Linked DNA regions of Pelodiscus sinensis. The protein of the gene in region 1 interacts with the protein of each later gene in a pairwise test. Links are inferred from orthologs where the notes say so. Each region holds a gene or a part of one and is shown in the gene's direction. Other genes may lie near its edges.

Region 1 (7,810 bases):
ACCTTATGAGGGATTCTTAGAGTCCTTTTCTGAGATGAAAACTAGCTTTGCTGACAGGGTTATGTTCTTGAATGCTCTCAAAACACCCAAGCCAGCCCAGATGAATTTCATGTGCACTAATGAACACATGCACACTTCTTAATAAGGGACTTGCTACAGTATGTTGTTAGCTTGTCATGCTACAACTACTGTACTTACAGCCCTCTGTACTATTACTGATACATGGGTAGTACTAGTCTGTCAGAAGAAATGCTAGAATACTAATACTTAGTGCATATGTGGGCAAAAGATAAGATGAACTACTCTACAGTACAAGAACAGAGAAAATTCATAATGAGCTTTATTCAGTGCCCATTGAAGCCAACTCTTGAGTTAATGGATATTGAGTCAGGAACTCTATGGTAAATAGTACCAAATATATTACAAATAAATTACATTATGGGTGTATCATAATCTGTAACTTTGTTTATTTTACATAGCAGGCCTTAGGAGCTGAAAAACAATGCATGCTGGCTTTCTCAGGAGTGTATCTTTAGCATATTTAGTATCATGGTATAAACTTGCACAGAGCTTGAAAAATATAGCCAAGACCAACTGCCATACAGACCTTGTTGTTCATGGAAAACTAAACAAGACACCGGGCAATAGCTCAAAAATAAAAGTGTAAGGATTATTACTTGAAGAATCAATTTTTAAAGAGGGATTTAGAGATGCAAGGTTCTCTTTGCATATTTTGAAGGTAAAGAGAAATGGAACTTGAGAGAGAAGAGTATTGGAGAGTAGCCAGTCAAGGAAAAAATCAAGGCCAACAAAAATTAGCACACATGCAAGCTGGTTATTTGTTCTCAAAAAGCCAATAGCACATGTAACTGGTAACTTCAGGAAAATAAATAGAATCAACATACAACTATTTATTAAGAACATAAGAATGGCCATATTGGCTCAGACCAAAGGTCCATCTAGCCCAGTATCCTGTCTTATGACAGTGGTCAAGTTCCCCAGAGGGAATGAAAAGGTAATCATCAACTGATCCATCACCTGCCACTCATTCCCAGCTTCTGACAAACAAAGGCTAGGGACACCATTCCCACACACCCTGGCTAATAGCCATTGATGGGCCTATCCTCCATGTATTTATCTTGTCCTTTTTTTAACCTTGTTAAAGTCCTGGTCTTCACAACATCCTCTAGCAAGGAGTTCCACAGGTTGACTGTGCATTGTGTGAAGAATGCTTCCCTTTGTTGGTTTTAAAACTTCTACGCATTAATTTGAGTGACACCTAGTTCTTGTGGTATGAGAACAAGTAAGTAGCTTTTCCATATTTACTTTCTCAATACCAGTCATAATTTTATAGACCTCTATCATATCCCTCCTCAGTCTTCTCTTTTCTAAGCTGAAATCTCTCCTCGTATGGCAGCTATTCTAAACCCCTAATCATTTTTGTTTCCCTTTTCTGACAATATCATTTTTTGAGATAAGGTGAACACATCTGCATGCAGTATTCAAGATGTGGGCATACCATGGATTTATATAGAGGCAATAAGATGTTCTCTGTCTTATTCTCTATCCTTTTACAATGATTCCTAACATTCTGTTTGCTTTTTTGACTGCTGCTGCACATTGAGTGGATGTTTTCAGAGAACTATCCACAATCACTCCAAGATCTCTCTTGAGTGGTAACAGCTAATTTAGCTCCCATCATTTTATACATATTAGTTAGGATTATGCTTTGCATTTATCAACATTAAAATTCATCTGCTATTTTGTTGTCCAGTGACCTTGTTTTGTGAGATCTTTTTGAAGCTTATCTCAGTCTGCTTTGGACTTAACTGTCTTGAGCAGTTTAGTATCATCTGCAAATGTTGTCACCTCACTGTTTATCCCATTCTCCTGATCATTTATGAATATGTTGAATAGGATTGGTCTCAGTACAGACCCCTGCAGGACATCACTAGTTACCTCTCTCCATTCTGAAAACTTACCACTGAATATATGTATTTTATAATAATGTAATTATTTTTGTTTTCTAAATTAACTTCATCTTCTGGATATGCCAGGACCTGTCTGTTAAGCTCATGTGTCCAGGGATCACTTGAGTTTTGTACAGCAGGTTGTACATTATCATGACTTTAACTTCCTACTTTTTGTGTGACATAGCTGTGACCCTAGCAGACCAGTTGCCAAGAGCCCTAGGTCTTAACTGAACAGTGACAACTATACAGATGGAAACCCATCAGGCTCACATGTGCTAGTATTGTTAAAATAGGTATTTGCATTATGAAAATGTGTTGAGACTTTATGATATGCTTCTAAATTGCTGCATGCATTAATCTCTCTTAAAATATTTAAAAAACAACAAATAGTCCTGCAGCATTTTAGAGACTACCAAAAAATGTAGATGGTATCATAACCTTCGTAGGCACAACCCACTTCTTCTTTAGACTTCTTCAAGAAGAAGTGGGTTGTGCCTACGAAAGCTCATGATACTATCTACATTTTTGTTACTCTCTAAGGTGCTGCAGGACTATTCATTATTTTTTAAGTTTTTTCAGTTACAGATTAACATGGCGACCCCTCCGAAACTCTTATAATATTTGTACCCCATGTCATAAGATAAGATTTATGTGTTTGCACTGAAACTGTAAGTCCATCAGTCAGGAGAGAAGTATTAATGAGTGTGAAATATTAGTTTACCATAGCAAACTAGTTTGCCCAGCAAAAAACCCATTGACAAACTATTGTGGAATGCCAGAGGACAAAGACTTTGATTGCTCCCCACCACTCAAGAAGAGATCTGCACTGAGTCTCTTCCCATCAGCTTGAAATCTGCCAGAAAGGAATAAAAATTCTTATCAAGGAAAAACTATATGTTGTTTGAACTCTGAGGGGCAAGAATTACTAAGCATAAGTAAAAGATCCCCAGCACTTGGTCTGTGCTAACCCATAAGGAACTTGCTTATTATAGGATGTTCTACTGCCTTTTTGAAATCTAAGACTAATTCATTTATGTGTGTTTGCCTCATTAATATCATAATCTCATTTATTTTTTAGTTTATTATAGGATTGACCACCAGCATTGTCTTTGTAAGATCCAGGTGCCAGTGACCTATGGTAAGTGACTTGTCCTTTGGGGCTGGGAGTAACATGAATATTGCTGTGCTTTTTTATGTGAGGGACCGTCTATCACTAAGGCAGGCTTGTCTGGGTGGCAAGATAGACTTCAGTACCCAAGAGGACTGGTTGTAACTTTTCATGATATAGTGCCTGAGGAATTCACACATGATATTTGTCTGGTAAATATAAGTACAGGCAGTCCCCGGGTTACATGGATCCGACTTACATCGGATCCCTACTTACAAATGGGGTGAGGCAACCCCGCACCAGCTGCTTCCCTCCAGCAGACCAGAGAGACGCGAAGCTAGCGCCCTCCCCCCCCCAGCAGACCAGGGAGACGCGAAGCTAGCACCCCCCCCCCCCCAGCAGACCAAGGAGACGCGGAGCGGCTTTTCTCAGCAGACACCTCAGCTTGAGAATAAAGGACTGAGGGAAGTGAGGTGTGGGAGAATAAAACTGAGCTCTGGAGAAATGTTTGGCTAGAGTTTCCCCTACAATATGTACCAGTTCCGACTTACATACAAATTCAACTTAAGAACAAACCTACAGTCCCTATCTTGTACGTAACCTGGGGACTGCCTATATTAAACTCACAACCAGTTTGAGGTTTGTGCTCTGCTTCTTCACAATCTTCCCTGCGGTTGGCACTCATGTGTCTGAGCCACTCCCAAAAGCTTGCAAATTGCCACAACTGCATATGGAATTCAGTCATGTATATATGCTTAGGCTGTTTTTTCCTGTTTGTATGTACCAACAGCTCATTTGCATACATTATTGTTGGACTAAAAATCCCTTTCCTAGTCAGTTGTTCAGTCTGCATTTTTGATACATTGCCACTTCATTTGTTCTCCAGTTATAATTTTTCAGATTAGACAAGACCTGAATGTCTAATTTAAAAAAATCTGAAAAAATGTTTTAATTTGTTTAGGGGGAGTGTTAGGGGTCACATCTTAGGCCTTCTTTATAAATTAGGTTTAAGTGAAAGCATATATGAAATTAGAAGCTTGACATTTAGAATGGGAGCTCAGAAATGGAAGGGCTTAAGCATACATTCTGTCCTCAGTAAACAGAGTGCCCCTAAGGTTAGCAACCTCAGGCTACTTCAGACATCCAAATTTCAGATATCAGGATTTAGCACTATCCTAGGATTTCACCTAGGATTTAGCAGAGATCTAGCTTTTAGTGATCCCCCAGTGTTGCCAACTACTGCAACTGTATCTCACAATATTGGTATTTTTCTTTCTTTAAAACCCCAGCATCTGGAACCCTGTTGTTGTGTCAGGAGAATCCCAGCCTTTATTTTAAAAAAGTTGTTAGTTTTCGGGGTTGCACAGGAAAGCTTGAAAATGTGAACCTCAAAGGCTCAAAAAACAGGGCAAAAGAAAATTTTCGAAATCTCACGACATTTAAGTCAACTTTCTGACTTTGGGGGGGAGCTGAGTCGCAGCCTTTAGCTGCCTAGGGTTTGGGGACCTGTGAATGGCCGTAATAAATGCCCACAGAGCCGGGAAATAGCTCTATTTAAAGTGGAACAGCCTTAGAAATAGTTGCTACTTAAAAAAAAAGATGCAGCCCACAATCCTAGGAGCTTTCTTTGCTGCAGCGGTACGATGTTAGGGAGACTGGACTCAGTTGGAAAATCAGCCTCCAAGGGGCAGCGCTGCCGATGTGCCTGCAGAGGGCGCTGTGGCTCCTGCCGTGGCCGGCAGCGGGAGGCTGGGGAGCTGGGAGGCAGCGGGCGCCGCTGGCGGAGGCTGCGCGCTGGGTGTATATATAGCCGCCTGCCGGTGCCAGCAGCTCCCCTTCGCACTGCCTGGGTGCGATGTGAGGCTGTAGCGGGAGCCATCGGCTGGGAGCTGGCGCGCGGCTCCGGCTTCCCTTTGTCCTGGAGGAGGAGACGGGTGCGCCGCGGCCCCAGGTACGGACTCTGCGTCCTGCCCCCGGCAGCTGCTCCCCGCGTGGGCAGGCGCGGGCGGGGACTTCTCGGACCCGGCCACGCGGCGACGGAGGGTTTCTGCGGGTGCCCTGCATCCTCCCAGCCGCGGCTCTGCCTGCGCAAGTTTTTACCCCCCTCGGGGACTAATGCCCGCTCCCCCCATGGCAGCACAGGACCGGCCTCCCCCATCCCAGCCTCACTGAGCAGAGCCCCAAACAAAACCAGCCCGGCCATTGCGTGCTGTGGGGGCGCGCGCGACCCGCCCCCGGCCAGCTGCGCAGGTAGCCCCCTCTCCAGCCCTGAGCCACAGCCGCGCGCCCCCACCCCAGTAGCACGAGGCACCTTCGCTCCAGCCGCACGCAGAGCGCCAGCTCCCCACCCAGAGCGGGATGCGCGTTGCTATTCACGTCTAGGGAGAGCTCCGCCGGCATTTCTAGCCCTCTGGGGCTGGGACAGGTACTGCAGCGTCTGAGGGAGCCACCTCGTCCTCGGCGGGCTGCTCGTGTCACTTAGCAGGGATGATGGGGGAAGCTGGGCTGCATCGTGGGGGTCAGCTGAGACCAGTCAACTGTTCAGTGTTCTAGAGGTTCGGGGAAAGGTGAAGGCTGCATCTGTGCTGGTGTCCGATTAATGCCCGGGAAGAAATGCCCGTTCACTGCCGCCTCCTCCCATCTTAGGGGTAACAAGCACATCTGGTGTGGGAATGCGCACTGAGACCTCAGTGGGTGACCCGAAGGCTTAAGTGTCTGTCATTCTAAACTTTGAATGTTCTCTTCCTCCTTGTTACCATACATGTAAGCACATTTAAAAATATCTTTTTTTTCAAGATGGCATTTCCCTGTAGGATCACTGACCAGCATTGCTCTTAAGGGGCTTGATTTTTGTTTTTGGTTTGTTTTGTGGTCTGTTCATTGGGTCCACTGAGCTTACTTTTAATTTTGCATAGAATTGTTCTAGGGAGAGTGAGATGTATTTTATCCTTCCCTGGAAGGAGGTTATCTTGTTTGTTTATTAATCCTTAGGTGTTTGTCTAGTAAAAGAGTTAATACAGAAAAAATAAATTGAAAAAACTTTAAATAAGACAAGTGGTGCCACTATATTTTAAATAACAATGTGATTTTCTTTGAAACATACTGAATCAAAAAATCCATAGACTATCCATATATTGATAGAGCTATTACTGCCTATATGTGCCTGTATAGGTGAAACACTTTTTGATACTGCTTCTAAAATGCATAAGAGGGAGAAAGTAACATCCCCAGGCTTTGATCATGTGTCCCCTGAAAAGTTCTAAGGAACCTAATGAGTGAAATAGTTAAGGTGCCATTTAGCCCAGTACAGCATCTCAATGAAGGACCAAAGGTCTGGTTAGGTGCTCACTTTTAACAACAGCAACACAGTTTTTGAGCTCAATCTTGCAGAGTGTTGGATACCTTCTGACAAGTGCAAGCATCCGCAGCGCCTAGATTCAGAGGAGCTTAGCTAATTTACTTAAGGTGATGCTCTGACCCAATGTGGCCAGTCTTACTTTAGCAGCCCTCTGCAGCACCTAATTACTATAAACAATAGTAGATACTATAGGTTATAGACTAGCACAGTGGTCCCCAACCTTTTGGGGCTGCCGGGCACCCGGGGGCGGGGCCACGCATGCGCCACGTGCCCGGGGATGGGACTGCACATGTGCCGCGCACCCAGGGCAGAAGCTGCACATCGCAAGAATGGCTTGGGCCGGCCCTGGTCACTCGGCAGGTGCACATAAATGCCCCAGCGGGCACCGCGTTGCGGATCACTGGACTAGCATATATCTTCAGTCACAGGGCTAAATAGGACTTGACTCTGGAGTCCTTACTCAGACAAAAGCCCCATGACTGCAGAATAAGATCAATAGTTAGTCTACCCTTTAGATTACACTGGTCCCTACCATGTTATAGTAATTTACTGGGGGCAAACCACTGTGGCTCTTATTATTGTCTGATGCCTTTAAGTTATTTAAATATATGTAAACAACTTACTTTGAACATTGTTATTGTTTTTGTTACTGATAGAAACATTTCCTACTACTAGTGCAATGTATTTCTTCACACACAATAGCTTATACTTTGCAAAGGATGGGTATAAGATTGTTACAAAAGCACTTGGTAAAAACTCCCTAATTAAAATTGCATTTTGAAATAGGATCTAAATTCCTGGGGTTGCCATTTGGGATGTGGCTTCATGCAGGATTAGCTTTTATATCCTTTGTATTTTCAGGTAGATTCTAGCTGCCTTCTCTACATTAACTTCTATATTTTTGCCTTGGATTTGGGCTATCAGAAAACTGTCCTTGATAGGCCATCTTTTTCACTGTTGAGCAGTGTCTCTAAAGAACCATTCCTTATCAATACAACACTTGGTAGAAAGGTGGATCCTGGCTCTATCTGGTGTGAAGGGGTAGGCTTTGTTTTAAATAATGTGATAAAGGATCACTTTAGCTATTATTCATGTAACAAGAAGTAACGTTCTGTGCATATGAATCTGATTAATTGGTGTCTGGATATAAACAAACACAGTTTGTCATTCTCCTTTATAGCAAGTGTTCTCCTATGGTGAAGTTTCCTAAATGTCTTGTATCCATTGTTTTATTAATGATGGGTTGTGCAGAATTCTATAATAAGTTACTTTGTGTTTATTTTTGCAAAAGCAAAGCCCAGGACACCAGAACTCTTAAGGAAGAATAATACAATACTGCCAAAGAGCTCAGATATAACTTATTAAAGGTGG
Region 2 (7,086 bases), on another chromosome or scaffold:
GCCAGCTCCGACCCTTCCTGAACAAGCATGACTTGGCCAGAGTGATCCACGCTCTTGTTACATCCCGATTGGATTTCTGCAATACACTTTACGTGGGGCTGCCTCTGAAGAGCCTTCAGAAACTTCAGCTGGTCCAGAATGCAACTGCTCGAGTTTTAACTAATACTCGTTATATGGAGCACATTATCTAGTGCTGTAGCAGCTGCACCGGCGTCCGGGCACAATTTAAGGTCCTGGTTATAACTTATAAAGCCCGAAACAGGTTGGGTCCAGGGTGTCTGAAGGACCGTCTTCTCCCATATGAACCTGCCCGGGCACTGACGTCAGCTGGGAGGGGCTCTGATCCATGTTCTTTCACTTATGGAGATAAGATTAACATCTACGCGGAGCAGGGGCCTTCTCAGCTTTTGCTCCCAGACTTTGGAATTCTCTCCCCTGGGATATTCCCATGACGCCAGTGCTAGCATTGTTTCAGCGCCAGGCTAAAGCCACCCTTTTTATTCGTGCTTTTATTGGTGTTTGAGAGAGAGAGAGAGAGAGAGAGAGAGAGAGAGAGAGAGCGTATGTTCCTTCTCTTGAGATGTCTTAGCAGGTTTTATGTCCTCCTGGGATCTGCTATTTTCATTTTTTATATATATTTATCCTGTGTTTTAAACATGTTGTAAGCCACCTCAAATATTTTAAATAGAGAGGCGGGGTACAAATATTTTAAATAAATAAATAACATTTCCTTATTCACCTTTTCCACACCAGTCATGATTTGATAGACCTCTATCCTATCCCCCCTTACTGTCCTCTTTTCTAAGCTGAAAAGTCCCAAGTCTTTTTAATCTCTCTTCCCATGGGACCTGTTGCAAACCCCTCATCCTTTTTGTTGCCCTTTTCTGAACCTTTTCCAATGCCAAGATCTCTTTGTTGAGATGAGGCAACCACATCTGCAGGCAGTATTCTTCCTGTCACTGACGGCGTCAATAAATCCAGCTTCCATGGCTCCATGGGAACAGTTCTGGGACACCCAATCTTGTTTTCCTTGTAAAACCACCATCTACCTAGAAGGCAGCGCCGGTACTGCCAGCCTGCTCGGCAGAAAGGAGAGGTTTTAGACACGCTCCCGGTGTGGAATAACAATGAGACGCTGCAGCAACACTTTGTTACTGTGCAATCTTACATGCATGCTGGGATCTGGAATATTTTCTGCTGCTCAGAAACATGGCTGCATCCTCCACCAATGAGCCGCCATTCTTCCCCGTCGATACCCGGATGGCAGGACAAAGTTTGGGAAGGATGTGGGTTAACCACTCGAACGCTGCTGAGCATGCTGGTTAGAAACCATGTTGCCCCCACGCAGCCACACCCAGCAGATAGCTCTTAATGCTTCATTGCCATCAATGAACTGTGCTGGAGGCTGGTTGCACTATACAAGGAGGTGAGTGACGCAGCAGCCATAGGGTCACCCTAGCTAGAAAACCAACCTCAACCGCTCCTGTGGCCTCGCTAGCGCCATCAGCTGACAGTCCCATTCCGATTTCTACAGAGCAAAGTGATGACTAGGGGACAGGTGGGAGGGCATCCTTGTCTCGGCTAGTTGTTGGTAGTGACAAAAATGCCGCCCGTCCCAAAGATCATAGCATACATGGCATGTGTATGGTCATTTGATTTGCAAGAAGTGGCAGGGAGTGTAACTCGGGCCAGCGGGGAGTGAAGGCAGCTGCTGTTGCTTTCTGTACAGGTTCCCAAGACTCCCCTCTTTAGAAGAGCCCTAGATCTCTGCAGGACCAAGGCTGGTGAGGTGTCCTTGTTGTGGTTACCGGATGCTTGGTTGTTATTTTTGCATCCCATTCCTAGTACTGTCTCCTCCGTTCTTTCTAGGCATCTCAAGCTTGGCTTCTCACCAACCCCCCGAGGCATTTTACCCTTCTACATCATTTACTTTTGTGCGTGGGGAAAAACCACATCATGCCAAACCAGCTTTGTTCTTAGCCCTTGCTGGAGGCTGGCAACATTGTGTGACACCACTTTCATTTGCCACTTTCATTCCCTGGCAAAGCTGAAAGTGTTCTCAAGTAAGTTTCCCCAACCACCTACACGCACAGACAGACAAATAGATATCGCCAAGGAGAAGAGAGGAGGTGTCAGAGATGGTCCTTTTCTGAGGGAAGATGAGTATTGATTGTTGTCAGTTTCAGCAGGGGGTTGCAACTCTTTCCTAGGGCAGCTCAGGAAGGGCAGGCTGGATTGGAGACTGTTGGAATGATGTTCCTGCCTCCCAGAGGCAGGAGGCAGCATCAGATGAACAGATACAATCAAATCTAGGACCATGTTGTTGAAATTCAGGAAACCCCATGACATGAGATTCTCTAAGCTCAACACCCCTAACTTGGAGCACCAAGAGGAAAGAATGCACACCAAACAAAGCCGAAGCCCAGCCAGTGAAACCCCTTTTGGCTGACACTGGGTCTCCTAGGGTGCAGCTATACTGCACCATAGCTCGAAATAAAATACGCAATGTGAGCGATGCAAATTGTGTACCTTATTTCAATCTTATTTCAAAATAGCGTATTTCAATTTTGAAATAACCTGCTGCAGTGAAGATATAGCCCTACTTCTCAATCTATGCAAAGCAAGGCTGATCACGGGCATCCTGCCAGCACTTCTCGTGGTTTTTCTAACCCAAACACTCTTCACTCAACAACAAGGAAACCTTGAGCCGTCTCAAAGCATATAATCACAAAGCCTGTTTTTTAAACAAGCCCCATCAAGGTCTCAGTGTGAATCGTGGTTATTAACATGGCTTTGATTAAACCATTTGCGGCCTTTCCCCAAAAGTTCTAGGCTCCCTGGTTCATAACTCTGTTACAGTCACACGCCTGGAGGCAGGCCTACAGAACCCCAATGTCCAAATTCAGCTAAATCAATGTAAATTAGATCATCCACACTGATGAGTTGCACAGTGGTTTTACTAAAGTGATTTAAAACAAGACCTGTAGTTAAATCAGGGCAATTCTGAATACAAGAAAGGCCTGAAAAGTGCCCGTGTTTACACTGGAGGCTACAGTGAATCATAAAGTAAACATGACCCAACCATATCAGTCATCAAAGACTCATTCACCTGCATATCTACTAATGTGGTATGTGCCAGCAATGTCCCTCTGCTGTGGACATTGAACAAACTGAACGATCTCTGCAACAGAACAAATGGACACAAATCTGACATCAAGAATGGTAACATACAAACACCAGGGAGACCTTGTTACACAACCTGGGATTTGGCACCAATCGGGGAGGCGACTCGGTGAGGCACTCAGGTCAGCAGGAGCTGAAATTAAGTGAAGCACACTTCCATAGCCAAGTCACTGCAAAGCAGCTTATGGGGGTCTAACTCTGTAGAACCGGCCAGCCTGAGGCTCAGTTTACTGCTAATGTTATCTCTAATTTTTTTCCATTCATGTGCAGAATTAATTTTGTGATGTGCACCAGGGCATGTGCAGATGTGCACCCCCAACAGAAACACAAGCTGATTGTGGGCACTCTGCTAATACATTTGAATTGCTCCTGGGTGGCCAACCACCAAGTGCACAGCTTACAGGAAACACTACTGGCCACCTTCTCTTTATTTTCCCTTCTCTTGTCCTTCATTTTTCACTCCCACTGGATTTTCTTTCCTGATCCTTCTTCTTTCTCCCCCCATTCGTTGGCTCCCTCTCTGCATTATCCCTCTCTCTCCCCGTCTTTTCCTCTCCTCCCCCATCATTCATCACCTCTCCTCTCCTAGCCCCGCGTCCCCACCCACCTCCAATCTGTCCCCCCTAAAAACAGCTGTAGCCTCAGCCACCCATGCCAAGCACTGAACTCAGCCCGCCTCTCCGATGGCTGCTGGGGCTTGTAGTCCTAAACTGCCCCAAGAGCGTGGGTCACAGTCCCCGCTTGAACTACAACTCCCACAATGCCCCTCGGAGGGGGGCGGTGGGCCCTGGCCGTCGCACTGCCCTATGGGGGCTGTAGTCCCAGCGAGTGGCTCTCCGCCGAGCTGGCTGTGCGGAAGGACTACGAGTCCCATCGTGCCCCGCGCGCCGCAGGGCTGGTGATCGGGGAGGGGGGGGCCGGGCGGACTGCGGACCTCGGGGTGACTGAGAGCCTCGAAACTCCCTCCCTCCCTCCCCCCCCCGCTTCGGCCCCGCCGCCTCCCCCTGCTGCGGGGCGCGGAGCCATGGGCGGGGAGGACGAGATCGTGCGCATCGCCAAGCGGCTGGACAAGATGGTGTCCAAGAAAAGCGCGGTGAGTCCGGGGGGCGGGGAGCCCCCCCCCATCGGCCCCCCCGACCCCCCCGATCGCCCCCCCCCAGCGCCCAGCGCTCGACCCCGGGTCCCCCCCCAGCGTCCCCTCAGCTCCCGGGGCGCCCCGCCCCTTCGTCCCTCTGTGGGGCCCGCTCAGCGCCCCCCCACAGCGCCCCCCCCGCTCACCCGCCCCCCAGCGCCCCACGCCGGATCCTGGGTGCCCTGAGGCGCCCGCCCCTTCCAGCGCCCCGCCCCCTGCTCTGCCTTGGGGTGCCCCCAGAGCGCCCCCTTCATTCCCAGCGCCCCGCCCCCTGCTCTGCCTTGGGTGCCCCAGAGCGCCCCCTTCTTTCCCAGCGCCCCGCCCCCTGCTCTGCCTTGGGGTGCCCCAGAGCGCCCCCTTCTTTCCCAGCGCCCCGCCCCCTGCTCTGCCTTGGGGTGCCCCCAGAGCGCCCCCTTCTTTCCCAGCGCCCCGCCCCCTGCTCTGCCTTGGGGTGCCCCAGAGCGCCCCCTTCTTTCCCAGCGCCCCGCCCCCTGCTCTGCCTTGGGGTGCCCCAGAGCGCCCCCTTCTTTCCCAGCGCCCCGCCCCCTGCTCTGCCTTGGGGTGCCCCAGAGCGCCCCCTTCTTTCCCAGCGCCCCGCCCCCTGCTCTGCCTTGGGGTGCCCCAGAGCGCCCCCTTCTTTCCCAGCGCCCCGCCCCCTGCTCTGCCTTGGGGTGCCCCCAGAGCACCCCCTTCTTTCCCAGCGCCCCACCCCCTGCTCTGCCTTGGGGTGCCCCAGAGCGCCCCCTTCTTTCCCAGCGCCCCGCCCCCTGCTCTGTCTTGGGGTGCCCCAGAGCGCCCCCTTCTTTCCCAGCGCCCTGCCCCCTGCTCTGCCTTGGGGTGCCCCCAGAGCGCCCCCTTCTTTCCCAGCGCCCCACCCCCTGCTCTGCCTTGGGGTGCCCCCAGAGCGCCTCCTGCTCTGCCTTGGGGTGCCCCCAGAGCGCCCCCTTCTTTCCCAGCGCCCCACGCCCGGGGCTGCCAGGGGCCCGGTTCACCGCCCAGGATTTGAGCTTTCTGTTCGGGACACAGATTGAGAAGATCGATAACACCGGACCTTTCTCAGTCCCATGGGCTGTAGATTGGGACGTGATGTCAGGTGTGTCCAGTATTCCTGTCGAAACCATCCGGAAACCCCCAGCATCCTGCCTGCTCTTCGCCCTCTGACTCCCCGCACGATGTCCCCACCTCTCACCCTCCTCCCGCAGCGTCTCTGCTTGTCCCCTTCTCTCCTGGGTTTGCCTCACTCCCTTCTGTCTGGGTGTGTGCAACCCTCTTCCCCCCATGCCCTTTTCCCCACAGCCCCTCAGGGCTCCCCTCTGTCCTCTTCTGAGCCTGGGTCCCCTCTTCCTATCACCTTCATGGAGCATTCCCCACATCCCCTCCTCTGTTCCCTGTTATATCCCCATCACCACACACCCCAAGCCACCCTTGTAGACTCTCTTGCTTCCCCTTACTTTGACCTGCCCATTTAGCCCCCTTCCAGCACCCTGCCAGAATACCCAATATTTGCCAACACAGCCGCTAAAGCCTGCTGATGCCCCCCTCCTGTGCATTACCCCATATAACCCCTCTGATGTCTCCACCCTGTGTATGCCTATAGCACCCTTTCACCTGTTTTCAAATAGATCTCCCTCCAGTGCCCTCTTATCCTCTATCAAACATCTTGCAGCCAAACCAAATTCTGGGATTGTAGTCTACTCTACACCATTGTGGGGTGTGTCCCCTCTTGCCCTCTGCTCTAGCCCTGGTACCCGCTCTTTGATGCTTCCTTGTAGAAATGATGGGCCCTCATCAATGCTTTTCTGCCCTTACAGTCCCTTCACCAGTGCCCTGCTGAAAAGCACATGCATACAGGGAACCCTCCTTCATCTTTTGGTGGCCTTATAATTTACCATTGGGCCTCCACAGAAAAGCACGATGAGTCTGGGGGAACCCCTCTTGCTGTTCCATAATCCTCCCATCTGCTTCCTTCTGTCTTCCCATTACGACTTCCCCACTACCACCTGCATACTCACAACCACCATCACTTCCTTTCCGCACCCTGCAGCCTTCTCAGCCCTCTGAGGTCTCCACTGTGTCCTGTCGCTTGGTCATCACTGCCGTGCCTCAGAAGGGAAGCTCCCATCACCTCGCAGTAGCCAGAGGTGTGAAGAGCAGGTGTAGGATGCTGAGGAGGGAAGAGGGGCTTTTCCTCTCCAAAGGCCAGAGAAGAGGGGACATGTTCTGCTCTCTCCTACCTAAATGTGGCGACCATTTGTCTCCCAGCCTAGAAAGCTTTGATAGGAAAACGCCTCGTCAATTTTCACAGCCATAGTGAGGGAATTCCTTCAGTTCCTTTCTCCCCTGCAGTTCCTCCTGCATGTCCCTCCTGGGGACTGATCCTTTCTTCCTTCCTCTTCACCCACCAGTTCTCCCCAACTTCTGTTATTGCCTTTGTTTTCCCTTGTCAATCCTCAGCTTCCTTCCCCAAGTGCAGATCTGTGTCTCCTCTTAACCTTCCCTTTATACAACAGATATTTCTCAAATTTTTCTCTGACACTGCTGATCCATAGACTGCCCCCCAATATGCTTTCTCTCCCCAGAACTCTTCATCCTCCCTAATTCCCTTCTGTGCAGTAACCCTGAAAAAAAATTAATCTGCTTTCCCCTGAAATCACATGGTTAAAAAGAGGTCCTCCGCTCCAACGAGGTGGGGTGTTCTTTAGAAAATGATTTGAATGTTGAATTGTCTTCCAAGTGTCAGTGACCAGCAGGCAGAAGCAGTTTTTTGAGTG
Region 3 (7,071 bases), on another chromosome or scaffold:
CCCAATTCAAATTGGGCATTGAATTTACCCAAAAGGAGTGGAATGGGGGAGGGTTCAAGTGCCACAGCTGAGGTGCTGATCTCCCAGCACAGGTGCCCCAGCTCTGCCACCATAAGCAGCAGCACCTGAGTCAGCAGAGAAAACCAGGAGCCACGCCCCCTACCAAATGTGGCCTAAAGGCAAGGGCTGTAAACAAGTGCCAGTCACACAAGCTGTAATCAGAGACTAGTGCCCTCATCCCTTCAATGGGCAGCCTCCCTGCTCTGACCAGCCTCTAACCTCTCTCAGCACCCTCGTGCTATGTATATACCCCATTATTCATCCCACTCTATGTACCCCCCTTTTCTCCCACTCCATGTGCTACCTGGCCTCTCCATGTTGTATATACACCCAAATATTCTCCTCCATGTGCACACCCTCTTGATCCTGTCATTCTGTGCACCCCTGACGTTCTCTATCCTGTATACACACATATCCCTTGCCCCTTTCTCCCTGCCCACTGTGCAACCCTCACCATCACATATGCCCCTGCCCTGACTCTGACATGTGCATGTCACTCCAGTTCTCTTTTCCCACAGCAGCACACACACACATATACAAACCCTGGGGAATGCTCCCACATTGTCATGTTGGGGCTTGAATCCTCAGGAAGCCAAGGGCGTGGGAGAGACAGGGAGGGAAATAGCAGGCGCCAAGATGCTGCTCCAGAGCCACAAATGGATCCTGAATGCTTCTTGCCCAATGTTGCCAGCCAGTCAGGGTGGCGCCAGGAATGGGAGAAGAATTCACCACCCCAGGGAAGGTTTAGGCCCTAGCACAGCTCAGCCATCTTGGGAGAAGAATTACACAAAATGGCTTCCAGCAGCCATCTTTGTGTTTCCACTGACCTGCCAACAGCCATTGCATCTTGTCATGCAGCCATCTTTGTGCCTCCCCTATTCATGACCATTCTCCTCCTTGGCAGCCATCATTGTGCCAATCTTTCTTGGAAGTCATCTCTCTGTGTTATTACCCTGACAACCATCACCCCTTCTCTGGCAGTCATCTTTGTTTTGGAACTTAGTACTGCCCCCTAGCTCCATGGACCTGTGACGACTGGGAAAGGGGCACCCCCACTTCCATGCCAGCAGTTGCACTGTAGGGCAGCATCAAGATTGGGTATCATTTCCTAAGGGCCCAGGCCTGGGAACCACTGGCAGAGCTGGGGGGCCCCTTCCCTGTGGGTCTGTGTTGAGGCAGAAGAAGCAGGCTCCATGGAAGCCCCAGCTCTGCTGACCTCAGCCCTTAAAGGAGCTGCCCTGCTTAGAGGAAGTGAAGGGGATACACCTCACCTCCCCCTACTGCATTTCCTCAGTAGGGTTGCCAGATGGTTTCAACAAAAATACCGGACACACTTGACATTACATCACAATCTACATTACATCTTATTTAGAAGATACTGGACATTGATATTTTCTCATTTATATTTTCTCAATTTATTTCCCAAACAGAAAGCTCAAATACTGGACTGTTCTGTTCAACACTGGACACCAGGCAACCCTATTCCTCAGGGAGTCTGGGCCAGTGAGCCAGGGCTGCAGAATACCTCACACTCCCTTTGGGTATGTCTACACTACCCCCCTAGTTTGAACTAGGGGGGATAATGCAGTCATACGGAGTTGCAAATGAAGCCCGGGATTTGAATTTCCCGGGCTTCATTTGCATAAAGCCGGCCGGTGCCATTTTTAAATGCTGGCTAGGTCGGACCCCGTGGCACGGACTAGCTAGTTTGGATTAGGCTCGTGGAACGAGGTATACAGCTAGTTCGGATTAGGAAGCCTAATCCGAACTAGCTAGTCCGTGCCGCGTGTAACCGCGCGGCACGGGGTCCGACCTAGCCGGCATTTAAAAATGGCGCCGGCCGGCTTTATGCAAATGAAGACCGGGAAATTCAAATCCCGGGCTTCATTTGCAACTCCGTATGACTGCATTACCCCCCCCTAGTTCGAACTAGGGGGGTAGTGTAGACATACCCTTTATTCCCAGCACTTCAGCTTCCGCTGCCTAATCTAGAATACCCCAGTGTCCATTGATTTCCAGTGCCCCTGTACATCCATTCCCAGTAACCCCTATTGCCCATCCCAGCTGCCAGTGACCTTCCCTATTCCATTCCCAGTATCCTCACATCACCCAGCCTCTGCTGTTCCAGCTCTTGCTGATAGCACCCCATCAGTCCCCCCAGCCTCTAGTGTTTGGCCCCCATTACTACTACTCCAGTCCCCAGGGCCCTTATTACTCCTTAGTGCCCCCATCTCTCCCTTGTGGTGCCCCATCAATCCCCAGCCTTCCCTTCACCAGCCTACAGTGTCCTCCACTGATTCTCTCTCCACCTAAGATCTATTGCCCCTCCTCCAATCCTGTTTATCCCACAGACACATTTGCTCCTGGCAGAACCCCTCCCCCCTGCAGTTGTTGTTATTGCAACAGGAGCTGTCAGGGGTTATTAATAAGGCCAGTCCCAGCCCAGAGCCCCTGCCAAGCCAGTTCAAGGGGAGGGGAGGGACTCAGCCGCTTGTTGTTGTAGCATGTTTTGCAGTTAACAGTGTCCTTTCTGTGCCCTGCTGGAGAAACACAGACAGAATTCCCTAGACTCAATCTGCTCAGACTTTTTCTCCCAAAGATTCCTCCACCTCACCCCCACCCCCAATCCAACCTAACCTATCCCCACCAATTTCCACTTGTCCAACCTAAGCCTCAGCCAAGTCAGAACCCCACTTAGAGCTACAATAACTGAGCCTGAGATCTCCAGCTCCCTCTCCAGCCCTAGTTCCCTCCACCAGCCTTAAGCAATGTCCCCTTCCTCTGGCCTATGTCGATTCACGCTCCACACAGAGTTTGCATCCCCAATCAGGAGCCCCACACTCAGGTTTACATGATCCATAAAGTGCAGGAAAGAGGAGTGAATTTAAAGGAGGCCATACCCTGATCCCCACCATCTCTCCCCTTCAAAGTCTGCAGCTGGACACCGAGAGATGGGACCTTACAGGAACCTCCTGTCCTGGGAAGAGACAGGAAATTCTGGGAATCAGAGGAAACAGTGTGAAGCAAAAAGGAATTCTTGCTCCCCCTCTGCCTGGCTGGGCTCCCAGGCAGAGATGTAAACAAGACTATAATTATAGGGATCATGGCTGAGAATGAGCTATCCAGGACTCTGGCTGTTCCTACAGGGGATTAGTGACTCAGTGCTGTCCCTAGTACCTCAGGTGATCAAAGGGTAAAGTGCTGCAGAAAGCAGTATGGGAAGATCAGAAGGGGGAATTCTCCTTCACTGCAGGCTCCCAGTGCCCCAGAGTGGACTAAGGGCATTGTGCTCCTGGCAGGCACCATCTTTAAGTTCTGCAGTAAAATCCAGGGGTTTGTCTCTAATGTTATTATTTATTTGCATTATAATAGCACCAAATTTGGTGCCTCATTGTGCCAGGTGCTGCATGGATCCCAAACAAGATTGGGATCCCATCACTCTGGGAGTTGCACAGTGACAGTCCTTGCACTGAAGAGGTCACAGTAAAACTATAGAAAAAAATGAGGGAAACTAAGGCACAAAATGGGATGGGGGGAGGCAGAAGAGATTTTCAGTTGCAGAGTCAGGAATAGAACCTAGATGTCCTGAGTCTCAGTACAGTACAGTACCCCACCTTCTGGACCACATGTGACCCTAGAGATTGCCTTCTCCCTTCTCCTTCATCCCTTCCCCATGGCAGATACGCGCCAATATGTTGGATGGGCCATGGCATTGTTCTGAATGATTGTGTGTTCCTCATGCCTTTTATGAGCTGCACAATGTCCCTGAGACTAATGTTGCCCCTCCCAAGCTTTCCCCTTCTTGGGGATCTAACAGCACAGTCTCTCCCCTCATGGGCTGCTGGCCAGGATCAGAGCCATGGTCTGTCCTTCATCCACAGTTACTATGGTGACCATATAGTGGGGGTGAGGCCAGGCTCTGGAACCCTCCCAACCATGGCCATGTTCTGGAACATGGCCAATCACCACAGTAACAGCTGGGGGGGGGGAATTCAGGTAGGCACCATGTTGGGGGCCCACCGCCACTCTATGTTCACCAATGCTTGCATCAGCCCCTCCCTGGATCCCAAAGCCCGGGCGCCTGGCACCCTCTACCAAAAGAAGGGCAGGGTGCACCTGTTAGGACTGCTTTCAGGCTCCCTTCCCCAAGAGGTAACTCCTGGTACTCCCTGCCCCCTTTGTGTACTGGCATCCCACAGTCCTTGGGGGCCCAACATCTGTTTTCGACCACCCAAACTCTACCTTCCTCTCCCTGCTGTGAAGGACTCCCACAACGGGCAAACACCCAGGGAAAAATTTGGGGCTGCAGTTTGTTTTTGTAGGGTCTCCTTACCTGGCACGTGTCTTTCTTTCTCACTGTCCTGTGTGGATGTTTGTAGAGTGACACTGCTGGCTAAGTAGAGAGAGCAAGGGAGTGGAGTTAGGATGCACTACTTCCAGCTTTAGGAGGGAGTGTGGTGACTAGTGGACTAGGTAGTTTTGAGCCAGGACCTACTGAGGGAAAGGCTTCCTGTCCCAGTCTCTGTTGCCTGAGCCAGCCAGTCCCCTAGAAGAAAAGCCAGGTCCTTCTTGCCTCTGCTCTGCGGTTTCAGGAGGAGGTTTTCAATAATGGTGATGGAATCGTGGTCTTGATGAGGAAAGGGAGGAGAAAGGGGTCACCCAGAGGTCCCCCCTCAGGGAGAAGAGGCAGCCGGGTCCCATGCTGCAAGATGCAGGAGTCCTGTGTGAGTGACACCTGTGATGGGGACCAGGACTCGGCCCAATCTGCAGGAAGGTAAGTAGGATGGATGGGATCCTTATGGCCATTGGGCCAAACTTATGCTTGCTGCTGCTGCATAGAGATTTTATTAGTAGTGTCCACATGTGCCGACTGAGATCAGCACCCCTTTACGGCATGTGCTGCACAGATCCCAAGACCAGGGCCACAATTGTGCTGTGCACTACATAGACCCTGACCAAGATTGGGGCCCCCATTCTGCTGGGTGCTGCCCAGGCTCGTCAACCCAGATCAGGGGTCCTCATTGTCCCAGATGGTGCACAGATCCAGACCAAGATTGGGACTCCACTGTACTGGGCACTGGACCGACACGCAGTGAGAGACAGTCTCTACCCCAAAGGGCTTGCCTTGTAAAGAGACAAAGGGAGAAGAGTGGGTTCTACTGGGCTAGAGCCATGAGGAGGGGGGCAGCTAGGAGTCTGTTGCTGGCTCAATGTGAGATGTGGTCATGTCTATGGTATGCCCTGTAGATGAACCCATTGGCTTAGTCTAGGGTAGCTGGATAGGAGTAGCGATGCTGGGCTCATTAGCTGGGGGATACCAGGCTAGGTGGCTCCATTGCTCTGATCTGAAACTCATCATCTCCTTTTCTCCCTACCACCAGGCAGAGAGACATTCCTAAGGACCCATTTCCCTCCAAGTCAGCTCCTGCCTGCACCCTTGATCGCCCACCCCATTGCTCCCGCCCCTCCTTCCCCTTCCAGTGGATGTGGGAGGAATTCTCACTCAACGGCCGTGCCCTGCTCCCAGCCCCTTCCCTGGACCAGATGAAGAAGGGGGAGCCCCGCAGAGCTCCCAACAACTCTCCCCGTGAAAGTGTCCACCCCAAGAAGATGGGTTTGCATAGACGTGCAGACCAATGGGCTGGCAGCTCACAGGGGCACAGCAGCACTGAGGGGGGCAGGGTTAAGCGAGTACCCCACCCCACCTCCAGCAGCCTCTCCCCACTGTATTGGAAGATGGAGGCCCGGAGTGAGGCCCGCAAACGCCAGCTCCGGGAGGAGAGGAGGCACTGGCTCCAGCTGGCTCAGCAGTTGCTGAGTCTGGAGGAGGCTGTGTCTTCCCCGGCCTGGGAGACGTCCACCTCTGCCCAGCAGCTCCGGGCCAGGCTAAGAGCTGAGGCTCTGTGCCTGGCCACAGAGCCACAGGACCCAAGCCCCAGGGGGCACAGAAGGAAGGGCAAAGGGCTGGCCCCCAAAGACAAGATCCGGTACCAACCCATCATTAACCGGACCATCCCTGACTTTGAGACACTCCACAAGAGGTTCCAGGAGCAGCTGGAGAAGAGGAAAGTGAGAGGTGAGCCAAGGAGATGGATGCAGTTGCTTTTGGGGGCTGTTTAAACGGAACCTCATGCCCGGCACTGAGATGGAGCTGCCTCTGATGTGGGACTGCTTATACAAAAATCCCTGGAGTAGGAGGCACAAGGGCTGATTATTCAGAGACTCTTCCCCTGGCAATTAAGATGCAACTGTTTCTGGCGTGGGAAGTGCAGCTGATGGGAAGGTTCAGGAACCCTCCATTAATACTTTCTGTGTTTTCCTCCACCAGCCAAGATGACCATCTACAAACCCTTCCATCTCCACATGGCCAGCAGCTCTCAGCACCAACCTGGGGACCAGCTCAGAGACTGGGAGCAGCACCAGCTCTGGAGCTTCCACTGCAGGTCCCAGTCCTGCTCAGAGTTCGACCCCTTCCTCTCAGTGCCACCCACCAGAGCCTCTGACAAACGGCAGGAGGCCACCAGGTATGGACAATGACCTTCAGTTCATTCACACCCCAGTTGTTCCAGCCCTGGCTTCCCTCAGCTCTGCTGCGGCCCCTCTGCCATCCCCTCCCCAGCGCTGCTGGTCCCCCATAATCCTGACCTACAGCTAGGGTGGCTACTCATGCATTCCAGAAATACCAAACATTCCAGTGCTACTGGGAATGGCAGGAGCCCACATCTGCCAGTGCCGCACAAGGGGCGCTATTTTGAAGAGCACACAGCCCACCTCTGCCAGCATCATCTGACACATGTGGCGTGCATGCCAGGTCACACCAGAGGGGGCAGAGAGGCACTCTTCATTATGGCATCTCTCATCTGATACTGGACAAAGCCACATTGTTTTTCTCAGTACTGGATAGAAAGGCAGGATAGTCTGGCTAAAAGCAGATAACTGACATGCCAAGCTAGAGGCCCCTGCTATCCCAGGCCTGGGTTTCAGCACACACTGCCCTCCAGCACAGCCCCT
Region 4 (6,824 bases), on another chromosome or scaffold:
CTGGTGGGTGTCTGGCCAGAGGAAAGGGAGCAGGGCAAGGTGCTTGTGGGTGTATGACCAGAGGATAGGGGCAGGAGTAGGGTACTGGAGGAGGTCTGGGCACAGGGCAGGAGCAGGGTACTGGTGGGTGTCTGGCCAGGGAAGAGGAGGCAGGAGCTGGGTGCTGGTGGGTGTCTGGGCAGGGGACAGGGGGCAAGGGCAGCTCGACCGGTACCTGGAGGGCTTCCAGGGACAAGGATCTCTGGGGCAGGATCTGCAGGCAGTTCTGGAAGAAGCACATGTGCAGCTCCTTTAAGAAATCTAGTCACTCCAAATGCTCCACCGCAGTCTTAATCCCCCCACACTCTTCCTCTCTGGAGCACAGGGGAAGGAAGGGAAGAGAAGAGAAGAAAGCTTGCACACTGCTGTGGGGCAGGGACAAGCAGCACATGCTTCCTGAGAAACTGTCTCAGAGGTTCAGAACTTCTGCCCCCATCCTCCTGCCATAGGAAGCCAGCGGTGGTTCCAATTTTGCGAGGGTCAGGAGACTGTAATGCCAGCATGGACTCCTCATTGGGGGGAAGGGAAGATGCAAAGAAGGGCTGGGAACACTGCATTGAGATTGACTGGCAGTGCCTCCACAATCGACCAGTTGATCACGATCGACTGGTTGGTGACCACTGATATATAGCAATATAAACTAGTCACTGCCTGTCTGAAATTTTACTTTTGTACCAACTTCACTAGTGTTTTTAATGTAGCCTTTTGTAAAAGTAGGCAAATATCTAGGTGAGTGGATATATCCTTTGGTAGACCACTGTGAACCACAGCTAGGAGGGTTTGATAAATTATTGTAAAGCATTGCTGCAGAAGATGACATCTTGAGGGCAGCTACGATACATAACTATTTTTTAAAATCTCATCTTATTTCTAGCAGAGTATTTAAAGAAAAATAAAATAAAATGGAAGGGGAGTACTGTGGGCTTCCCCTTCCCCCTTCACACACACTTAAGTCTCCCTTTTGAGAAACAGAACATGTATTTGTAAGTACTGCCCTCAACGTTTTAAACCATTCCTTCACTGGAAACTGTGTATTACACATAATACGCTATTTCTGCAGCTATTGCATGTATTGTCAGCCAGTAAAGATATAGTATTAAACTCATCTTGAATTCTCATTTTCCACCAGTTAGGGCTCCTTTGACAGGATTTGTGTGAAGTTTGAAAAGTTTTACTGAAAAAGCTCTCTGACAAAGCGAAATTACGGAACGGTTGTTTTTGTAGAATGTGGATGTTGGAGTTAGGAGACCTGATTTCTAATTTTACACAGCTCATGCGCTAGGGGAGGAGGAACTCCCCCTTCACTCGTTTTATCGCTATTTCCAATGAAGCAGAAGCAGGTTCAGTGTTTCCTTGACTCAAGGAACTTCAGATCTCTACTTCATTGTTCCAGTCTAATGAATGGGAATAAAATGCTTCACAGTGTTCTGTGCTATTATTTAGCTGTAATTTACTCCTAAGTGTCATCTAAGAGCCTAAAAGTCTAGAGGGAGTAGCTGTGTTAGTCTGTAACTTTAAAAGCAATGAGTAGTCCTATGGCATCTTAAAGACTAACGAATAAATATATATATAGTATCCTGAGCATTTGTGGGCAGAACACACTTCATCAGATGATCTCGAGACATGACACCTCAAACTCATCTGAGGAAGTGGGTTTTGTCCATGAAAGCTCTTGATAGTATATATATATATATATATATATATATATATATATATATATATATTTGTTAGTCTCTAAAGCTACATCTACATTGCACTTTCTTGCACAAGAACATATGCAAATGAGGCACGGTGATGAATATCACTGCACCTCCTTTGCATACTTAATGAGCCACCATTTTACACAAGAGGCTTTTGCGCAAGAAGGAGCAGTCTACACTCATTTTCAGATCTTCTTGCACAAGAAAGCGCAATGTAGACGTAGCCTAAGGGTATGTCTACCCCAGGGCTACGTGTACACTGGCAGCTTCTTGTGCAAGAACTCTTTTGTGGAAGAGTTCTTGTGCAAAAACTCTTCCACAAGAGAGTGTCTACACTGGCATGTGCTTTTGCACAAGAGCATCCATGGCAGTGTAGATGCTCTCTTCCGCAAGAAAGCTCTGATGGCCATTTTAACCATAGTGGCTTCTTGCACAAGAAATTCATGTTGCCTGTCTACACTGGCCTCTTCTAGAAGAGCTCTTGCACAAGAGGGCTTATTCCCGTGAGGGAGTGTCAGAGTTCTCGCACAAGAAGTCCTGATTTTCTACAGAACAACATCAGCTTACTTGCGCAAGAACGCGCGGCCAGTGTAGACAGGAGCCATGTTTTTGCGCAAGAGCGGCTGTTTTCACGTAAGAACGTGCCAGTGTAGACACAGCCCAGAGTTTTGTCAGAAAAGCAGCTGTTTTCCCGACAAAACTTAAGGAATGTCCACACTGCAATTGCGTTCTTCCGCAAGAAAATCAAAAGAACAGAGGGGTTTTTCTGGCATTGGTAATCCTCAATCTACGAGGAAGAAGCCTTTTCCCAAAAGAGCTCTTTCGCAAAAAGGCGTGTGTGGACAGGGAAGAGGGAGTTCTTTCGGAAGAAGAGGAAAGAGGAAAAAGCATAGGTACCCTGGTGGTCATTGCGTCCATAGCAATCACAGCTTACATGCGTCTGGACTCTCTTCCGAAAAAAGCTTCTTCTGAAAAAAGCCTGTAGCCTAAAAGTGCCACAGGACTACCCTTTGTTTTCTAAGAGCCCAGTAAGCTGTGGATGTGATGGTAATACTGCTAGACAATACTGAATGCCTGTGGTTTGGCAAATTCTCAGGTTCCAGGGATGCTGGACTAGAGAGGTTCAACCTATATCCCATATAACACATAATGACATGCAATTGTTAGGACGTTTGTTGGTTCCCCTCTCCCCCCATTTCTGAATCTGTTTCTGTTCCAGCTTCAGTCTGCCGGGCTTGCAGACCTTGCCCGCCTCTTCTAGCATGGGTAATGCAGTGCAGGGAACTGGGGTGGGTTGCAATCGGGGTGCTGGAACAGTGTGTACAGTGGGGGTGCCGAGAGCCACTGAGCTGTGCACCCTGCCTTGCACAGGCTGCACACACGGGAAGCTGGGCGTTGCAGCAGCACGCTCAGTTCTCGCCCCTCCCGGTTGGCACCGCTCCCCGCTGTCCCGACGGGGGGAGGGGCTCTCCCCCGCGGCAGGCTGCGGGTGCGGAGTGTGGCGGTGAGGGGGGTGTCCCGGTTATCAGAGCAGAGGGGGCTCGGGATGGGCCCCAAGCGATTCCCTCCGCGGCAGGACCTCCGGCTGCACCGCCTGGTCGCTAGGAGCGTGACGTCAGCAGCCGAGCCCCGCCCCCCGCCGCCCCACCTCGGCACCGCCAACGCGGGCAAGGCGGCCGAGGCCCGGGTCGCGTTGTCAGGGCAACGGGGACGCGGTCTCAGGCGGCCGGCCTGGGCAAGACGCGCCGCTTCCGGGACACGCGCTGCTCGGCACCTGCACTCCCGGGGGAGGGGGTATCAGTGGGGGAGGGGCTCAGCACCTGCACTCCTAGGGGGGAGGGGGTATCAGTGGGGGAGGGGCTCGGCACCTGCACTCCCGGGGGGAGGGGGTATCAGTGGGGGAGGGGCTCAGCACCTGCACTCCTAGGGGGGAGGGGGTATCAGTGGGGGAGGGGCTCGGCACCTGCACTCCCGGGGGGAGGGGGTATCAGTGGGGGAGGGGCTCGGCACCTGCACTCCCGGAGGGGGGATCAGTGGGGGAGGGGTTCAGCACCTGCACTGGGGGGGGGGGACTCAGTGAGGGTGAGGATCAGCACCTGGACTCGGGGGATACAGTTGGGGGGTGTCTCAGCACCTGGACCCCAAGGGAGACACAGCGGTGGGAGGGGCAGGGGGGACGCGAGACGTGCTCAAAGAGAGGGTTGAGGGGATTCAGTTGAAAGGGGGCATCAGCTACCCTAACTCGAGAGGGTGTGTCTCTGAGCTGTGTGGCTCCTGCTCCTGAGCTCTGGACAGGGGTCTCTGTGCTATGAGGGCAGAGCTAGGGGGCCCACCTGTTGTCTTGTTGTTCAGAATACAAGTCACAAGGAGACGGTTTTTATTGTGTCTTTTGAAATGATTCCATAAAGTTGTTCATTGGGATACCAGAGAGCACTCCATGTAACTTTGTGTGTTGCAGGTTTGCTGGCCTGTCAGTTTGTTTGGTGGGGCAGCCAAGTTGTGGGTTTGGTCATTAATTACTTAGTTCCCTTGACTGAGGGTACTGCACAGTGGATTGGTTTTCTCTCAAGTTATTTTGTGGCAGATACTTTAGTTATTCTACCTTGTAAATTAAAAGGAGGGTCCATGCAGCAGGTGACTGTTGGTTTGCAGGGCTGTGTTCTGCAGCGGGGGGGTTGCTTGGAGGTGAAAGGAAGAGGATCAAGATCATCAGTAGCATCAGCAGAAGCACTAGGGTCTCAGACAAGGACCGGTATAATCAGCAAGACCAGGATGCCTGGGAACACTAGGACTTTGGATCCTCGTTACTTTGTACTAATAAGACCCTTGCCCATCCCCACACAGAAAGGTGCAAAAGTCCAAGCTAGAAGTAGCACAGTTTATAATTGCTGGGAAGCCACAAGAGAACAAATATTTTGGGAGAGCTACCATCGGAGGCACAAGCAACTCACTCAGCATGGGTATTGGACACCCAGCTGGAAACCATACCAGGAGCTTGGAGAGATTCTCTACCTAGAGCCAAAGAAACTCACCCTCCACTATTTGGGACAGCTGCCTCAGGTAGGCTTTCCTCTTCTCATTCCTGGTTTCCATAAAAAACAGAGCATCATCATGTAAGTAAATTGAAGAGTCAATAGTCAATTTCTGCTTAAAGAGCAAAAAGGCAGTGTGAAACATTGTGCCAGCGTATAATTAAGTGTTCTTATATGATCAAATTAATAATCACATCACAGAACATTGGTCAAAAATTAGACCTGAGGAACATGCTTTGACCTTATATTTTGCCATTTGAGAACAGAGAAGTCTTTTAAACTTGGTCTTGGGAATCTTTAATAAGAGCAGTTTCAGTAGAGTGGAGAAATTAGAAAGAAGGTTGGGGAAGAATACAAGAGAAAATTAGGGTAATGGGATTATATAGCATTTTTAAGGAGAGGTAACCTGATCATACTAGAAAACTGCAGTGAATGAGCAAATACAAAATAATTAATGCTGAGGGAAGGATGAGCTAAGAATCAGGAAATGATGGCATCTAGAGGATGGGACAACAGCTTAGAAAATGAGCATATGAGGGACACCTCAGAATTGGAGATGGGAGATGAAACCACCAAACAGTCAAAAGGATGGAGGGTTTGGATTAAGGAGATTTGTTAGAGAGATGGTGTGAAAGTTCTTATGTCAAGTAGGGATAGAAGTTATACAGATTTAAATGTTATAGTGGCATATTTATATTCTGAAATGTGAGTTCACAGAAAGTCTTTTTTGGTTAACTATGATTATTTATATGGTACTGTGACTACCAGTATAACTATCATCTCATTCTGGCCTACTTTGCTGTCACACAGGAACTCTTCCTCTGGTCTCTTTTAGTGTCTGATTTAATCATTGACTTACAATGCCAAAAATATTGTTTGCCTGGTTGCCATGAAATTCAACTGCAAAGTCTTAGTATTTGTTTTCTTCATTGTTGTTGTTTTATTCAAGGAAATCTATAATTTATGGACTTGTTGCTTTTCTTCAAGACAGCAACAACACTACAGTCTGAATTGACCCAGAATGCAGTCACCCCTCCTTCCTCTGTCCTTTTCCTTTCTGTCTTAGCAGTTGTAATGCAAACTGTAGTGACTTTTTGGCTCAGATCTACAAAGGGATTTAGGTATTGCATAATTTTTGAACTGCCTTCTATAATGAATGTACAACTTAAGGTTTTGGATGAAATATTTATAGCTCTAAAGAGAGACTGGTTCCCATACACTATATTTAACTGAATTTCTAACATGCCATCATTTTGAAAGGGATAGACTTTTGGTTCTATAGGTGTGTCGTTGTATAGAAGTTTTGCCAGTATTTTTGCCCATGCCGTATTTTTGCCTTGATGGCATATAACCCCTGAAATGCCCTTCCCTTAGAATCTTAAGTTGGTTCTAGAATCAAGTTTGAACTCTGTTGTTTGAGATTTGAACTAAATGAGCCAGTTAAAATGTGTAATTTCTGTTGAGTAATTTGATCTAGACCAGGAAGGTGCATTGAAAATACTGTTTATAATGGTAGCAGATTAAATTACAGGTTTTCAAGTCCAGTAGGGGGATTTAGTCACTCAAGTCCTGTTCATTTATATGGGTGTTGTGTGCCTAAATGCCCCCTAACATTTGAAATTCTCAATCTTATCTGCTATACATTTGAGAGAGTTTGTCTGTCTGTCTGTCTATAACAGATGAAAACTCCTCCAAAAGGTAAGAGCTAGGACCAGCTTTCTAGAATACAGCTTTCTCTTATAACTTAAAGCAATGTAAGAGTTTGGTTGTGCCAGGAAAATGGGATGTGGCTGGAATGGGATTGTTACTTATAAAACCATACAGAAAAGAGACAGAATCACCAGAGAGGTGAAAGGGGCTGGCTCATGGCACACCCTCCACCTATCCGGAACTGCACCAACCCCGAGCCTTCCATCCCCAGGTACACTTTACGGAGGGTGATTGGGGCTGAAGCTCCCCTTTCTCAGATTCATATGGAGTCATTGGTGGCTGTTCCCCTTGTCAGGAAGTGAAAAGAAAGTGCACAGTTTGCTGCATTCCTCACTCTGGCTGA

Evidence for each region.
Region 2: the proteins of MTUS2 (region 1) and TCEA2 interact in binary tests that used the Homo sapiens proteins (3 or more experiments, as listed by UniProt). The link is inferred for Pelodiscus sinensis from reciprocal best matches to the Homo sapiens genes MTUS2 and TCEA2.
Region 3: the proteins of MTUS2 (region 1) and TSGA10IP interact in binary tests that used the Homo sapiens proteins (3 or more experiments, as listed by UniProt). The two-hybrid records come from large-scale screens. The link is inferred for Pelodiscus sinensis from reciprocal best matches to the Homo sapiens genes MTUS2 and TSGA10IP.
Region 4: the proteins of MTUS2 (region 1) and CCDC60 interact in binary tests that used the Homo sapiens proteins (3 or more experiments, as listed by UniProt). The two-hybrid records come from large-scale screens. The link is inferred for Pelodiscus sinensis from reciprocal best matches to the Homo sapiens genes MTUS2 and CCDC60.

What each region holds. Positions count from the first base shown.
Region 1 is NC_134711.1:299,547,266-299,555,075, reverse strand, and holds the start of MTUS2 (microtubule-associated tumor suppressor candidate 2), read left to right. Parts: upstream 1-4,794; 5' UTR 4,795-5,032; intron 5,033-7,810. UniProt on the Homo sapiens protein: Binds microtubules. Together with MAPRE1 may target the microtubule depolymerase KIF2C to the plus-end of microtubules. May regulate the dynamics of microtubules at their growing distal tip.
Region 2 is NC_134728.1:4,614,989-4,622,074, forward strand, and holds the start of TCEA2 (transcription elongation factor A protein 2), read left to right. Parts: upstream 1-4,067; 5' UTR 4,068-4,207; coding exon 4,208-4,276; intron 4,277-7,086. UniProt on the Homo sapiens protein: Necessary for efficient RNA polymerase II transcription elongation past template-encoded arresting sites.
Region 3 is NC_134721.1:33,087,830-33,094,900, reverse strand, and holds the start of TSGA10IP (testis-specific protein 10-interacting protein), read left to right. Parts: upstream 1-4,050; 5' UTR 4,051-4,065; coding exon 4,066-4,212; intron 4,213-4,652; coding exon 4,653-4,834; intron 4,835-5,441; coding exon 5,442-6,136; intron 6,137-6,388; coding exon 6,389-6,584; intron 6,585-7,071.
Region 4 is NC_134725.1:10,039,589-10,046,412, reverse strand, and holds the start of CCDC60 (coiled-coil domain-containing protein 60), read left to right. Parts: upstream 1-3,813; 5' UTR 3,814-4,364; coding exon 4,365-4,799; intron 4,800-6,824.